2 linked regions of the Tribolium castaneum genome follow. Each later gene encodes a partner of the first gene's protein in a complex. Links are inferred from orthologs where the notes say so. Each region holds a gene or a part of one and is shown on either strand. Other genes may lie near its edges.

Region 1 (8,440 bases):
TTACCAATTTTTGCATTTAGCAGCAAATTGCTCGAAAACTATTAGTCGGAGAACAATAATCTTTTTTGAAAAAGATAGAAAATTTAAAGAGCTTTCCAACGATAATACACTTCATGGGGTTATCTCTAATAGTTCCGGAGCTATTGCTCGAGAAATGTTCCGGGTACCCAAAACCGACAAAAACTGCGATGAAAATTGAAAAAATCAAACATCAAAAAATCGAACATTTGGACTTTTTGTGGACTTTTAACAACTTTTGTGGGTTGTTAAGATATGTAGAGGTCCATAAAAATTTGCTGGAGTTAGTTAAAAAAATTTTTTTTTTCACCTCTTTGATGGTAAGTAGTGTATTTTATTCAGGAAATTTTAGCAAAAAAATTGAAAATTTTAAATTGCGTGAAAAATTGGTATAATAGAGAAAAAAAGCCGCTGAATCCAATGGAACAAACCGCACTGCTCTACGACTTTTAGTTTTCGAGTTATGAATTTTTTTAAGGAATAAAAGTTTTCACTGACAAATGGCTACCCTAAATTTAGGCAAAAAATTTTAAATTTTTAATTCTTGTGAAAAATCGATATAATATGTAAAATGAGCCGTAGAATTCAATCGAACAAACCGCACTGCTCTACGACTTTTAGTTTTCGAGTTATGAATTTTTTTAATGAATAAAATTTTTCGCTATGACAAATGGCTACCCTAAATTTAGGCAAAAAATTTTAAATTTTTAATTCTTGTGAAAAATTGATATAATATGTAAAATGAGCCGTAGAATTCAATCGAACAAACCGCACTGCTCTACGACTTTTAGTTTTCGAGTTATGAATTTTTTTAATGAATAAAATTTTTCGCTATGACAAATGGCTACCCTAAATTTAGGCAAAAAATTTTAAATTTTTAATTCTTGTGAAAAATCGATATAATATGTAAAATGAGCCGTAGAATTCAATCGAACAAACCGCACTGCTCTACGACTTTTAGTTTTCGAGTTATGAATTTTTTTAATGAATAAAATTTTTCGCTATGACATGGCTACCCTAAATTTAGGCAAAAAATTTTAAATTTTTAATTCTTGTGAAAAATTGATATAATATGTAAAATGAGCCGTAGAATTCAATGGAACAAACCGCAATGCTCTACGACTTTTAGTTTTTTTTTTATGAATTTTTTTAGTGAAAAACTTTGATCGCCTCTGTAGCCGGAACCGTTGCCCGGAGCGGCTCCGGGTTTAATCAAAAAAATAGACAAAATCAAGCGCTATCAGATGGTTTTTTGTTCGTTGCTCTAAGTCTTACAGTTTCCGAGAAAAACGCAAAAAAAGGTTTCCATTTTCACTTTTTTTCAATTTTCAATCGCCAATTACGGCGAAACTATTAAAGATATCGAGAAACGGAAAAATGGAGGATAACCGGAATTAAAAACTCTACAAAATGGCATAGCACTCAAGGCGATATCTCGCAAAAAATTTTTCAATTTTCAAACGCCGATTACGGCCAAACTAAAAGAGCTAGAAGAAAAAGGTTTGTTCCATCGTAAAGAGCACATCAAAATCTATAAGACAGAATAGGTTTCATTTGATTTTGAGACACTTTAAAAATTGACCGATTTTAAGGGGGGGGTGTTAACTTTTTTTTAATTTTTTTTATTTTCTCATTTACGGCTAAACTATTCAATAAAGTGGAACTGTTTTGATCCATCCCTATGCAAAATGATCCGGGGAATCGATTGGCATAGAGAAAATTGCCATATTCCCAATAGTTTTTTAGTTATGAATTTTTTTAAATTTTACCAATTTTTGCATTTAGCAGCAAATTGCTCGAAAACTATTAGTCGGAGAACAATAATCTTTTTTGAAAAAGATAGATAATTTAAAGAGCTTTCCAACGATAATACACTTCATGGGGTTATCTCTAATAGTTCCGGAGCTATTGCCCGAGAAATGTTCCGGGTACCCAAAACCGACAAAAACTGCGATGAAAATTGAAAAAATCAAACATCAAAAAATCGAACATTTGGACTTTTTGTGGACTTTTAACAACTTTTGTGGGTTGTTAAGATATGTAGAGGTCCATAAAAATTTGCTGGAGTAAGTTTAAAAAAATTGTTTTTTCATCTCTTTGGGTAAGTAAGTGTATTTATTACTCAGGAAATTTGAGCAAAAAAATTGAAAATTTTAAATTGCGTGAAAAATTAGTATAATAGAGAAAAAAAGCCGCTGAATCCAATGGAACAAACCGCACTGCTCTACGACTTTTAGTTTTCGAGTTATGAATTTTTTTAATGAATAAAAGTTTTCACTGTGACAAATGGCTACCCTAAATTTAGGCAAAAAATTTTAAATTTTTAATTCTTGTGAAAAATTGATATAATATGTAAAATGAGCCGTAGAATTCAATCGAACAAACCGCACTGCTCTACGACTTTTAGTTTTCGAGTTATGAATTTTTTTAATGAATAAAAGTTTTCACTGTGACAAATGGCTACCCTAAATTTAGGCAAAAAATTTTAAATTTTTAATTCTTGTGAAAAATCGATATAATATGTAAAATGAGCCGTAGAATTCAATCGAACAAACCGCACTGCTCTACGACTTTTAGTTTTCGAGTTATGAATTTTTTTAATGAATAAAATTTTTCGCTATGACAAATGGCTACCCTAAATTTAGGCAAAAAATTTTAAATTTTTAATTCTTGTGAAAAATTGATATAATATGTAAAATGAGCCGTAGAATTCAATGGAACAAACCGCAATGCTCTACGACTTTTAGTTTTTTTTTTATGAATTTTTTTAGTGAAAAACTTTGATCGCCTCTGTAGCCGGAACCGTTGCCCGGAGCGGCTCCGGGTTTAATCAAAAAAATAGACAAAATCAAGCGCTATCAGATGGTTTTTTGTTCGTTGCTCTAAGTCTTACAGTTTCCGAGAAAAACGCAAAAAAAGGTTTCCATTTTCACTTTTTTTCAATTTTCAATCGCCAATTACGGCGAAACTATTAAAGATATCGAGAAACGGAAAAATGGAGGATAACCGGAATAAAAAACTCTACAAAATGGCATAGGACTCAAGGCGATATCTCGCAAAAAATTTTTCAATTTTCAAACGCCGATTACGGCCAAACTAAAAGAGCTAGAAGAAAAAGGTTTGTTCCATCGTAAAGAGCACATCAAAATCTATAAGATGGAATAGGTTTCATTTGATTTTGAGACACTTTAAAAATTGACCGATTTTAAGGGGGGGGTGTTAACTTTTTTTTAATTTTTTTTATTTTCTCATTTACGGCTAAACTATTCAATAAAGTGGAACTGTTTTGATCCATCCCTATGCAAAATGATCCGGGGAATCGATTGGCATCGAGAAAATTGCCATATTCCCAATATTTTTTTAGTTATGAATTTTTTTAAATTTTACCAATTTTTGCATTTAGCAGCAAATTGCTCGAAAACTATTAGTCGGAGAACAATAATCTTTTTTGAAGAAGATAGATAATTTAAAGAGCTTTCCAACGATAATACACTTCATGGGGTTATCTCTAATAGTTCCGGAGCTATTGCTCGAGAAATGTTCCGGGTACCCAAAACCGACAAAAACTGCGATGAAAATTGAAAAAAATTAAACATCAAAAAATCGAACATTTGGACTTTTTGTGGACTTTTAACAACTTTTGTGGGTTGTTAAGATATGTAGAGGTCCATAAACATTTGCTGGAGTTAGTTAAAAAAATTTTTTTTTTCACCTCTTTGATGGTAAGTAGTGTATTTTATTCAGGAAATTTTAGCAAAAAAATTGAAAATTTTAAATTGCGTGAAAAATTGGTAGAATAGAGAAAAAAAGCCGCTGAATCCAATGGAACAAACCGCACTGCTCTACGACTTTTAGTTTTCGAGTTATGAATTTTTTTAAGGAATAAAAGTTTTCACGGACAAATGGCTACCCTAAATTTAGGCAAAAAATTTTAAATTTTTAATTCTTGTGAAAAATCGATATAATATGTAAAATGAGCCGTAGAATTCAATCGAACAAACCGCACTGCTCTACGACTTTTAGTTTTCGAGTTATGAATTTTTTTAATGAATAAAATTTTTCGCTATGACAAATGGCTACCCTAAATTTAGGCAAAAAATTTTAAATTTTTAATTGTTGTGAAAAATTTATATATTATGTAAAATGAGCCGTAGAATTCAACCGAACAAACCGCATTGCTCTACGACTTTTAGTTTTTTTTTTATGAATTTTTTTAGTGAAAAACTTTAATCGCCTCTGTAGCCGGAACCGTTGCCCGGAGCGGCTCCGGGTTTAGTCGAAAAAATAGATAAAATTAAGCGCTATCAGATGTTTTTTTGTTCGTTGCTCTAAGTCTTACAGTTTCCGAGAAAAACGCAAAAAAAGGTTTCCATTTTCACTTTTTTTCAATTTTCAACCGCCAATTACGGCGAAACTATTAGAGTTTTCGAGAAACGGAAAAATGGAGGACAACCGGAATAAAAAACTCTACAAAATGGCATAGGACTCAAGGCGATATCTCGCAAAAAATTTTTCAATTTTCAAACGCCGATTACGGGCAAACTAAAAGAGCTAGAAGAAAAAGGTTTGTTCCATTGTAAAGAGCACATCAAAATCTATAAGATAGAATAGGTTTCATTTGATTTTGAGACACTTTAAAAATTGACCGATTTTAAGGGGGGGGGGTGTTAACTTTTTTTTAATTTTTTTTATTTTCTCATTTACGGCTAAACTATTCAATAAAGTGGAACTGTTTTGATCCACCCCTATGCAAAATGATCCGGGGAATCGATTGGCATCGAGAAAATTGCCATATTCCCAATAGTTTTTTAGTTATGAATTTTTTAAAATTTTACCAATTTTTGCATTTAGCAGCAAATTGCTCGAAAACTATTAGTCGGAGAACAATAATCTTTTTTGAAAAAGATAGATAATTTAAAGAGCTTTCCAACGATAATACACTTCATGGGGTTATCTCTAATAGTTCCGGAGCTATTGCTCGAGAAATGTTCCGGGTACCCAAAACCGACAAAAACTGCGACGAAAATTGAAAAAATCAAACATCAAAAAATCGAACATTTGGACTTTTTGTGGACTTTTAACAACTTTTGTGAGTTGTTAAGACATGTAGAAGTCCATAAAAATTTGCTGGAGTTAGTTTAAAAAAAATTTTTTTTCACCTCTTTGAAGGTAAGTAAGTGTATAACTCAGGAAATTTGAGCAAAAAAATTGAAAATTTTAAATTGCGTGAAAAATTAGTATAATAGAGAAAAAAAGGCGCTGAATCCAATGGAACGAACCGCACTGCTCTACGACTTTTAGTTTTCGAATTATGAATTTTTTTGTTGAATATAATTTTCCATTATAGGCATTGCTCTACGATTTTTAGTTTTTGAGTTATGATTTTTTTTCAAAAGAGCTGCTAATTTGCGATTTTTGTCATCTTCCAGGTGTTAGAAAAACGACCAATGGTGTAACTTCAAAAATAGTTTTATTCACAAACGGCTATCGATAATTGATAATACATAGTAAAAATTTCGATTAAATCTAAACGCCTATTATTAGTTACATTTATAATGGATAACACAATTCTACAACTCAGGCTATTCTCCCATTTTACATACAAAAGTTCAATAACTTAAGTCGGAACCCAACGTTCCCTTGAATAAGTGACGGGTTTTGCGTGCAAGTGACTTGAAAATAATAAAAAAAAAACAAAACTTCTTAAAAAACACTAATTACCATTCCGCATCACCGTTAGCCTTTTGGAAGACATAATCTTGTCCACTCAAGTTCATTATCCCATCTTTCAAATAAAATTTCCACTTATTCCTATTTCTTATGATTTTATCGTACTGACAAACAACGATGTTATCAGTATCGAACAAATCAGTTGGGTCGTCATCAGTCACATCGTCTTCGGAGTTCAGGGGCTCTTCTTCACCACCTTCTTCCTCCATTTCTTGATCCTCTTCGTCCTTATCGTCATCGATATCCTCGTCGTCGTTATCGTCGTCAGACCCGTCCTCATCGTCGTCGGACGTGTCCACGGGGCCGTCCACCTGGGGCACCTTCTTCCTAGGCAAAATAAACTCGATTTCGATTTGTTCCTCCTCCTCCTCCTCGGCGTGGCTTCCGTCCGTCTGGGCGATGTTTCGGTTGACAATGGTCACGATCTGCTGCTGCTGGCTGTTAAAAACACGTTATCTCATAACAAAAAACTACAATTATTACAAGCTTTTTTATTTATTCCGAAGAGAACATTATTAAAAATCCGATAAAATTTTAAACAATAATTAGAAAATTTTTAAAACAATTATTGACAAAAATATCTGCATAAGTGTGCACAAAACATGTATTTTTCTTTGTACAGGGTGACCCGAAAACATTTTGCGTGGACGATTTAAGTTAAAAGGGGGCTAACTGACTACCTGTTAAACACCGCGTTGACGTGCTGCTGGAGCACCGAAGACGCAATATTGGCGGGCAAATTCATCATCCCCGTGATGATCTGCCCCGTGAGCACCTTCTGGAGCTGGTTCCCCTGGAGCGCCGTGGCGGGGACCTGTATCGTGAGTATCCTGGGGCCCTGGTCGCTGCCGGGCTGCGCCGGGAGCGTGATCTGGATGGGGACCATCTTCGTCTCGGCGATCTGCCCCACGGGGGCTGCCGCCGGCTGCGCCACATGCTGCTTGGGGAAGCCGTTGGTGGCGGTCATCTCCGCCTTCTTCGCCTTCTCCTCCTCGCTCTGCACCGCCTTGCTGGCCTTGAGCTTGGTCTCCCAGGTCTGCTTCAGCTCCTGGAGGACCTGCTCGTCGACGCCGTCCTCCAGGAAGATCTCGCGGACGCCGCTGATCACGTCGTCGATCACCTCCTGGTAGATGCGGAGCACCGAAGTCTTGCACAGGGAGTTCGACATGGCCTTGGGGGCGCACCACACTACGTTAAGCTGATTATGAACGGTTTCCGAGAGTGGAAACGGGCGATAATGGCATTTTTACGCGCACATATGCACTTTTGAGGTTAGGGAAATCAGATGGCCGACATTTTGATGGAAAATGAAGGCGAGAGATGAGGAAAATTTTGGGGTAACGGCAGGACGCGATCGGGGATAGTGCGCAAGCGCCGGAATGAAGAGTTTTTATCAATTCTTATCACAAAAAATTACTACCACGACAAAAAAGTCGTATGGTGATTAGTGAGTCGTGGGGTTTTTATGGGTACAAAAAAGAGATTTAAGCAATAAGAAAATAGTAAAAAAGTGGTGTATTGTGGGTTGACTAAAGCACAAAATGGCTGCCCGAATTATTTTACCGCGAAATACAAAAATTAAGTTAATTTACGATATAGCAGAATTTAGCAAAAAAAATCAAAATTTTTAATCTCGTAAAAAAAGCTGGTATAACAAAGAAAATGAAACAAACCGCATTGCCCAACGACTTTTACTTTTTGGGTTATGATTTTTTTTAGTGTAAAACTTTAATTGCCTCTGTAACCGGAACCGTTGCCCGGAGCAGCTCCGGGTTTGGACGAAAAAATAGATAATTTTAAGCGCCATCCGTTTTTTTAGTTTGATTCTCTAAGTCTTAGAGTTTCCGAGAAAAACGCAAATAAAGTTTCCATCTTCGCTTTTTTTCCATTTTCAACTGCCGATTACGGCGAAATTATTAGAGTTATCTAAAAACGGAAGAATTGTAGAAAAGCGCAATAAAAACTCTACAAAATGGCATAGGACTCAAAGCGATATCTCGCAAAAAGTTTTATAATTTTCAATCGCCGATTACGGCCAAACTAAAAGAGCTAGGAAAAAACTCTTTTTTCCATCGTAAAGAGCACATCAAAATCTATAAGAAAGGATAAGTGTTATTTGATTCTGAGACACTTTTAAAAATGGCCATTTTGGAGGGGAGGGAGGTCTTAATTTATTTTTAATTTTTATTATATTCTCAATTACGACTAAACTATTCGAAAAAGGGGAACTGTTTTGATCTTTACCTATGCAAAATGATCCAGGGAATCGATTGGCGTCGAGAAAATTGCCAAATTCCCACTAGTTTTTTGGTTACGAATTTTTTAAAATTTTACCAATTTTTGCATTTATCTGCAATTTTCTCGAAAACTATTAGTCGGAGAGCAAAGATCTTTTTTGAAAAAGATAGACAATTAAAAGAGCTTTCCAACGATAATACACTTCATGGGGTTATCTCTAATAGTTCCGGAGCTATTGCTCGAGAAATGTTCCGGGTACCCAAAACCGACAAAAACTGCGACGAAAATTGAAAAAATCAAATATTAAAAAATCGAACATAAGGATTTTTTTTGAACTTTTAACAACCCTAGAGGGTTGTAAAGGCACATATAAGTACGAAAAACTATGATAGAACACATTAAAAAAATTTTTTTTTCACTTTCTTGAAGGCAAGTGTTAATACTCATTAAATTT
Region 2 (6,378 bases), on another chromosome or scaffold:
GAACCAGCACCTAAGAAGGAACCCTTGTCATTGGAGGAGCTTCTGGCTAAGAAAAAGGCCGAAGAAGCGGCCAAAAGCAAGCCGGTGTTTTTGACCAAGGAACAGCGAGCCGCAGAGGCGTTGAAACGTCGTCAGGAGGAAGTTGACCGTTTGAGGAAACAACAAGAAGCCGAACGGAAAATAATCGAAAACGTGCAAGCTTCCAGACAGGAGGAACAGAGAAAGGATGACCGGGAGTTTCGGCGGCCGCGTGATCGCGAAAAAGACGAAGACAAACAGAAGGATAAAGACAGGGAGAAGGAATCCGACGCGATTAAAGAACGCTACTTGGGTTTGATAAAAAAGAAGCGACGAGTTAGGCGTTTGAACGACCGAAAGTTCGTGTTCGACTGGGACGCCGGTGAGGACACGTCCCAGGACTACAATCCCTTGTACAAAGAGCGCCACCAGGTGCAATTTTTCGGCCGCGGAAACCTCGCCGGAATCGACATCAAGGCCCAAAAACGCGACCAAAGCAAATTCTACGGCGAACTACTCGAAAAACGCCGCACCGAAGCGGAAAAAGCCCAGGAAAAAGTCAGGTTGAAGAAAGTCAGACGTAAGGAAGAGAAGCAACTGTGGGACGATCGCCACTGGTCGGAGAAAGACGTCTCGGAAATGACCGAGCGTGATTGGCGCATTTTCCGCGAAGATTACAACATCACAATCAAAGGCGGCAAAATCCCGGAACCCATCCGCTCCTGGAAAGAGTCAGGCATCCAGAAAGAGCTGCTGGAAATCATCGATAAAGTGGGCTACAAGGAACCAACCCCCATCCAGAGACAGGCGATTCCCATCGGGATGCAGAACCGGGATATTATCGGGGTTGCGGAGACCGGTTCGGGCAAAACGCTTGCGTTTTTGATCCCGCTTTTATCCTGGATTCAATCGCTCCCGAAAATCGAACGCACTGAAGATGCCGATCAGGGCCCCTATGCCATTATTTTAGCCCCCACGCGTGAATTGGCCCAACAGATCGAGGAGGAGACGGTGAAGTTTGGCCAACCGTTGGGGATCCGCACTGTGGTGGTTGTGGGCGGTTTAAGTCGCGAGGAGCAAGGTTTTAGGCTGCGAATGGGGTGCGAGATTGTTATTGCAACCCCGGGACGACTTATTGATGTTTTGGAAAATCGCTACTTGGTCCTGAACCAGTGCACGTACATTGTTATGGACGAAGCCGATCGCATGATTGATTTGGGATTTGAGGCAGATGTGCAAAAAATTTTGGAGTACATGCCGGTCACTAACTTGAAACCGGACTCGGAAGAAGCGGAAGATAGTAAAATAATTTTGGCGAATTACAACAGTAAGAAGAAATATCGGCAAACGGTGATGTTTACGGCAACTATGCCACCGGCGGTTGAGCGACTGGCGAGGACGTATTTGAGACGTCCGGCGGTTGTGTACATTGGTTCGATCGGGAAACCGACGGAACGGGTCGAACAAATTGTGCATATTATGACTGAGAACGATAAGAGGAAGAAGTTGATGGAGTATTTGTCCAAAGGGGTCGATCCACCGATTATTATTTTTGTTAATCAGAAGAAAGGGGCCGATGTTTTGGCCAAAGGGTTGGAGAAGTTGGGCTACAATGCGTGTACGCTCCATGGGGGTAAGGGGCAGGAGCAGAGAGAGTACGCACTGGCTAGTCTCAAGTCGGGGGCTAAGGACATTTTGGTGGCCACTGACGTGGCTGGGAGAGGGATTGATATTAAGGATGTTTCCGTTGTTATTAATTACGACATGGCCAAGACTATTGAAGGTAAGATAAGTTTGTCCCAGATTTTTTTTCTTTATGACTAGTGCAAACTGAAGAAAAAAGGAAATCTAATCTGTAATTTGTTTATTTTTTTTCAGATTACACCCATCGTATTGGCCGAACCGGCCGTGCCGGGAAGAGCGGGGTGGCTATCAGTTTTTGCACCAACGACGACTCGGCCCTATTTTACGATTTGAAGCAAATGTTGCTATCGTCACCTGTCTCAACGTGCCCCCCTGAACTAATGAACCACCCTGAATGCCAGATTCGGCCCAATCAGCCGAAACGCCGCCGCGACGAAATGATTTTCGCTTAATTAAAATAAAACTCGATGTTTACTTAGCCTTTATTCTTAAAAACAAAATCTTATTACACTAGTGGTCAATTATTATGAGTTCGTCTATGCCCCAATCCTCGTACGAGTGGTCGGGTAAATAACGCCGGATTATGATGGGGATTTTCCGTTGTTTGAGTTCTTTCATTGCGATTTGAAGCGGGTCTGTCTCTCCGTCTAGTTCCACCATAACTGGGGCACACATGGCGATTTGCAAAGCTCTTGTTCCCAAAACACGAGCTCTTTCGTATTTGGTCATGTATTTGGTTGTTATGCGTTTGTTTTTGGGCACTCCGCCCCCGGCTTGGCCATGAGCGAGGATGTCGATGTTGTCGCCTTCCTCCTCGGGCTGCTCCAGCTCCTCGATGTTGTCGTCATCGACGTCGTCGTCGAAGTCGTCCCCCACGTCATCACCGTCGAATTCTTCGTCATTCATTCTCGATTTCTAGCTAATTGACTAATTTAAAGGCATACACAAACATAGCACAACGTTCAGATGTCAAATGCGTCAAACGTCAAAAGTATTGGTTATTGGAGAGTTGCACGAAAGTGCATCAGTCCGAAACTTGTTATCGGTTCAAACAATACTTTTACTTTAGTGTATTGTTGGTTGCGTCGCAGTTGCGATAAAAACTTTTTTTGATGAAATTTTGATTGTTACGATTTTTTTAAGTTTAGTTAACAATTTGGTGCGAAAAAAATAAAACACATTAAATTCAAGCAACTTTATTGTATAAAATAATTGCATTTGTTCCAGACTTTATAAAATACCGTCTTGTCTATTATAGTGGCGGTCAGCTCGATTTGCGTGTGCGTCAATTTCATTTTTTCATTACCAACACAAAGCTATAAAAATTGTCAAAAACAATGCAAATTTAAACAGCTAAGGGCTATCTAAGGGTGGTATCCTTGAACATTAATTGACATTGACAGTAAATTATAGACGTCGTCGCATCGTTGTCGAAAGTGTGTGTTATCGGTGTTAATCGTAAGTATTTTCTGTTCGTTTATTGTGTTTTGTGATTTGCGTTTCGTTAGGTTTTTGATTCTGCGTTTATTAGTTCTTGTTTTGTGAATCTGTATTTTTTGTAACAACTTCGTAACCTCAAAAAATATTTGATAGTTTGTCACCGCTATGCCCCTGCTGTGTAAACGTAGTGAGAGAAATGTCAGATGACGCACACGCAAATGGAGCTGAGCGCACCATTGCAGTTTTGTCTAGAAATGGTAAAAATAACTGCGATTTATTGCGATGTTTAAATCACAGTGTTTGTCTAGTTAACAAACCATTTTTTGTGGTAGTTTCTAGCGTACGACTGCTTATTGATTAATTGAATAAAACGCAGACGGAGCTCGTCATAAAGCTCAAATAATTAAATAATTGCAAACAAGTTGAGAATTAAAAACCTTAGCCTAGTCATAAGTCGTACAAATTACCCTACTGGGTGTTAAGCGTGTTTGTAATGATAATGATTCATAAAGTACCTAAATCAGGCACTCTAACTACTTTGGTAGTGCGTGTAGATTATCCCTGGAGTGTTTAAGACTAGCTTCAATAAATCTAAAATTGATCAAATCATTAGGCTAAATTGTAAGAACTATTAAACATTTAAAAAATTGGCCCAAGGCCCATCGCTTGGTCCCCAATGGTTAACATGATTTTGTAACAATAAAAGTACATTACATTCGTTGTCCAATCTTAAAATCAGGCACTTGATTATGTATTTATTGAATCGAACAAAACGTGGTGTTCTCTATCACCAATAAATCGCTAAATCAACTAAATGAACTTTTGGCAATTATTCCACAGACACGTAGAACTAACAAAACAAACCCCATTCATAACAAAGACAAAAATATCACGTGCCCTTTTGCGCCCACTTCATATCATCAGCCCGCGGTTTGTAGCCCGTGGTGTGTTCAATCAGCAGCTCTAGGATGCTCCAAAAGCGCAGCTTCTCCAACGGCCAATTGAGCCACCCGGTGGTGATGCAAAAGTAGGTCTCATGCGGGGCCACATGGTGGATGCGGTGGTGGCGCCTCGGCAGAATCACATGGTGCTCCTGCAGCCACACCACCCACGCCGGCAGCCCGAAGTAGGTGTGCGACCACTTGTGTATCTGGAAAGTGGCTCCAATCAGCAAATGAACTCAGATTTATCGGGCGCGTTACCCCAGGTGTGCGTGTTTGCCACGGGCCCTATCATTTTATAAAGTATTATATCGCGAGCTGATCTAAAAGCGCACACACGACCCGAGGAATTAATTCGAATCAATAATTAACTCTACCTGATTGGTCATTGCCACGAAAATCGCCAACAGAAACACGTAGCAATTCCACGTGAACTTCCTCTCGACCCCGTCCGCAGGCAGCGTCAGAAAATCCCAAACCATCCTCGCCAGAAACGGAATGGTCACCATGAAGTTATCACCGTTGGTTTCGATAAAGTCGTGGCGGGTGATGGACGTCGGATCGATGTGGTGTTCGCGGAACGGCCGCAAAAAATTCTACACAAAATTTAAAATATCAAACATTTCGCTCTCCACTCACTTTGCCCAAGATGGGGAGCTCCACCGAGCCCCACGTGTCGGCCGCCCAGTGCACGAGTCCCGAGCCGAAATCCGCCGTCACAATGCCGCAAAACGCCGCCACCAAAATCGTGCTCAAGTTGTCCATACGGACGTGGAATATTATGAAGAAGAAGTTGACCACCATAAGGGTCAAGCAGATTCCCACGCAGATGCATTCCTGAGTCCGCTTCCCTGCAAAAAGGGAGCGGTGTGACTCGGCTAATTACACTTGGGCCCAGTATTAGTGTAAACTAGGAGGAATATTAAAAATAATCGAGTTTAATGGGTCATCGGAATAATATGAAATGTCATCAATGCATAATAAACGAACTTGTGCTAAGTAATATCGACGACAAGATCGATTCTTCCTAAATAAGCACCTATCAGAATAAAACACACTGTCGATTAGACAAACACATCAATAAAACACGAATTAAAGTGGCATTTTTTACGTTTTAACGCTCACTATAGCGTGAAACTACAATGATTCATTTTCGCGAGATATTATGTCATCGAGAGGTGGTTTCCTTTTTTGTACCTTGACGTAATTTCGTAACGGATTTATTACCACTCGAGTGATAATTTAATTTTGCCAAAAACTTACGAATGATAACACGTTTCTGTTCTAAATCCGAATATTTAAACACATTTCTTGAACATGTTACGACTTATTTTATGTAAATTTAGTTAAAGGTGAAGTAGCTTCGTACGTACAGATTGACACGTATCTGCATGATGCTTTGTGTCGTTGCAAATCTTTTATTGTATTGTAATTACACGTAACCGCAAGCTAAGTTAAGCAAAAAGGTTAATCTAAAGCAAACGTTAGTGATGATAACAAGGCCTCACTTTTCAGCATTAATTCCTCTATGGAGACATAATTTAAATTTTCTCATACAACATGTATGAATGTAAAAAACACGACAACTAACTGTACATAACTATATATAACTATTTTTCGTAAAACTGAAATAATTTAATACAACTGCCAACTTCAGCAAAACCTATTACGGTAATCCACAAGGGAAATCTTATTTAATTATAGATTAGCTGGACACAACCGTCAGCAAAAAACAAGTTTTGTGGTAGAAAATTTCAGAATTTATTCTTTTTTAATCATTTCTTACAAAATTTTGGTTTTTGAAAAAAATTAACACCTGTATTTGTGCAGTGACTAATTTTGTGCTACAGATGTTGCTATTTACGGAAAAAACGGAAAGTTAATTACTTAAAATACGATTATTTTTACACACTTGGCATTTTTCATGGTGATTATAGTCGACTGAAATTATCTAGCAGATTAATCACCCTCTAATGACGTATTAAAACACGCCTTTATTTTGCAAACCTTGGTAGTAAAATTTTATTGTACCACTTGAACATAGAATTGAAAAAACCACCACTTGTTTTAGTTCTAATTCTATTTAAGGAAACAATCCCAAATGATTGTTATCAAGGAATGAGTTTCAGTTCAATTATTTTTCCAAATGCGTTGCGATTAAAGGTAATTTGTTAAATTATAGCGATTCTTTTATTTTATTTTGTTAGGATTCTTTAATGAGAAAAATTCTCCACGAACTTGTTACGTTAATAGGGACTAAAGCCAGGTATTAGGGATAATAATACAACCCGGAAGCGCATCAAAAATAGCCAAATTTTTAAATCGGGGAATAAAT

The links.
Region 2: TfIIA-L (region 1) and Polr2F share a complex: the UniProt entries of both Homo sapiens proteins name them as parts of the TBP-based Pol II pre-initiation complex. The link is inferred for Tribolium castaneum from reciprocal best matches to the Homo sapiens genes GTF2A1 and POLR2F.

Annotation. Positions count from the first base shown.
Region 1 is NC_087395.1:25,196,058-25,204,497, forward strand, and holds TfIIA-L (transcription initiation factor IIA subunit 1), read right to left. Parts: upstream 7,126-8,440; 5' UTR 6,917-7,125; coding exon 6,429-6,916; intron 6,187-6,428; coding exon 5,736-6,186; 3' UTR 5,472-5,735; downstream 1-5,471. UniProt on the Homo sapiens protein: TFIIA is a component of the transcription machinery of RNA polymerase II and plays an important role in transcriptional activation. TFIIA in a complex with TBP mediates transcriptional activity.
Region 2 is NC_087398.1:1,179,488-1,185,865, reverse strand, and holds Polr2F (DNA-directed RNA polymerases I, II, and III subunit RPABC2), read right to left. Parts: upstream 2,569-6,378; coding exon 2,173-2,568; 3' UTR 2,127-2,172; downstream 1-2,126. Other genes in the region: probable ATP-dependent RNA helicase DDX23, read left to right, coding at 1-1,801, 1,897-2,114; Kua (plasmanylethanolamine desaturase 1), read right to left, coding at 3,992-4,252, 4,421-4,639, 4,683-4,894. UniProt on the Homo sapiens protein: DNA-dependent RNA polymerase catalyzes the transcription of DNA into RNA using the four ribonucleoside triphosphates as substrates.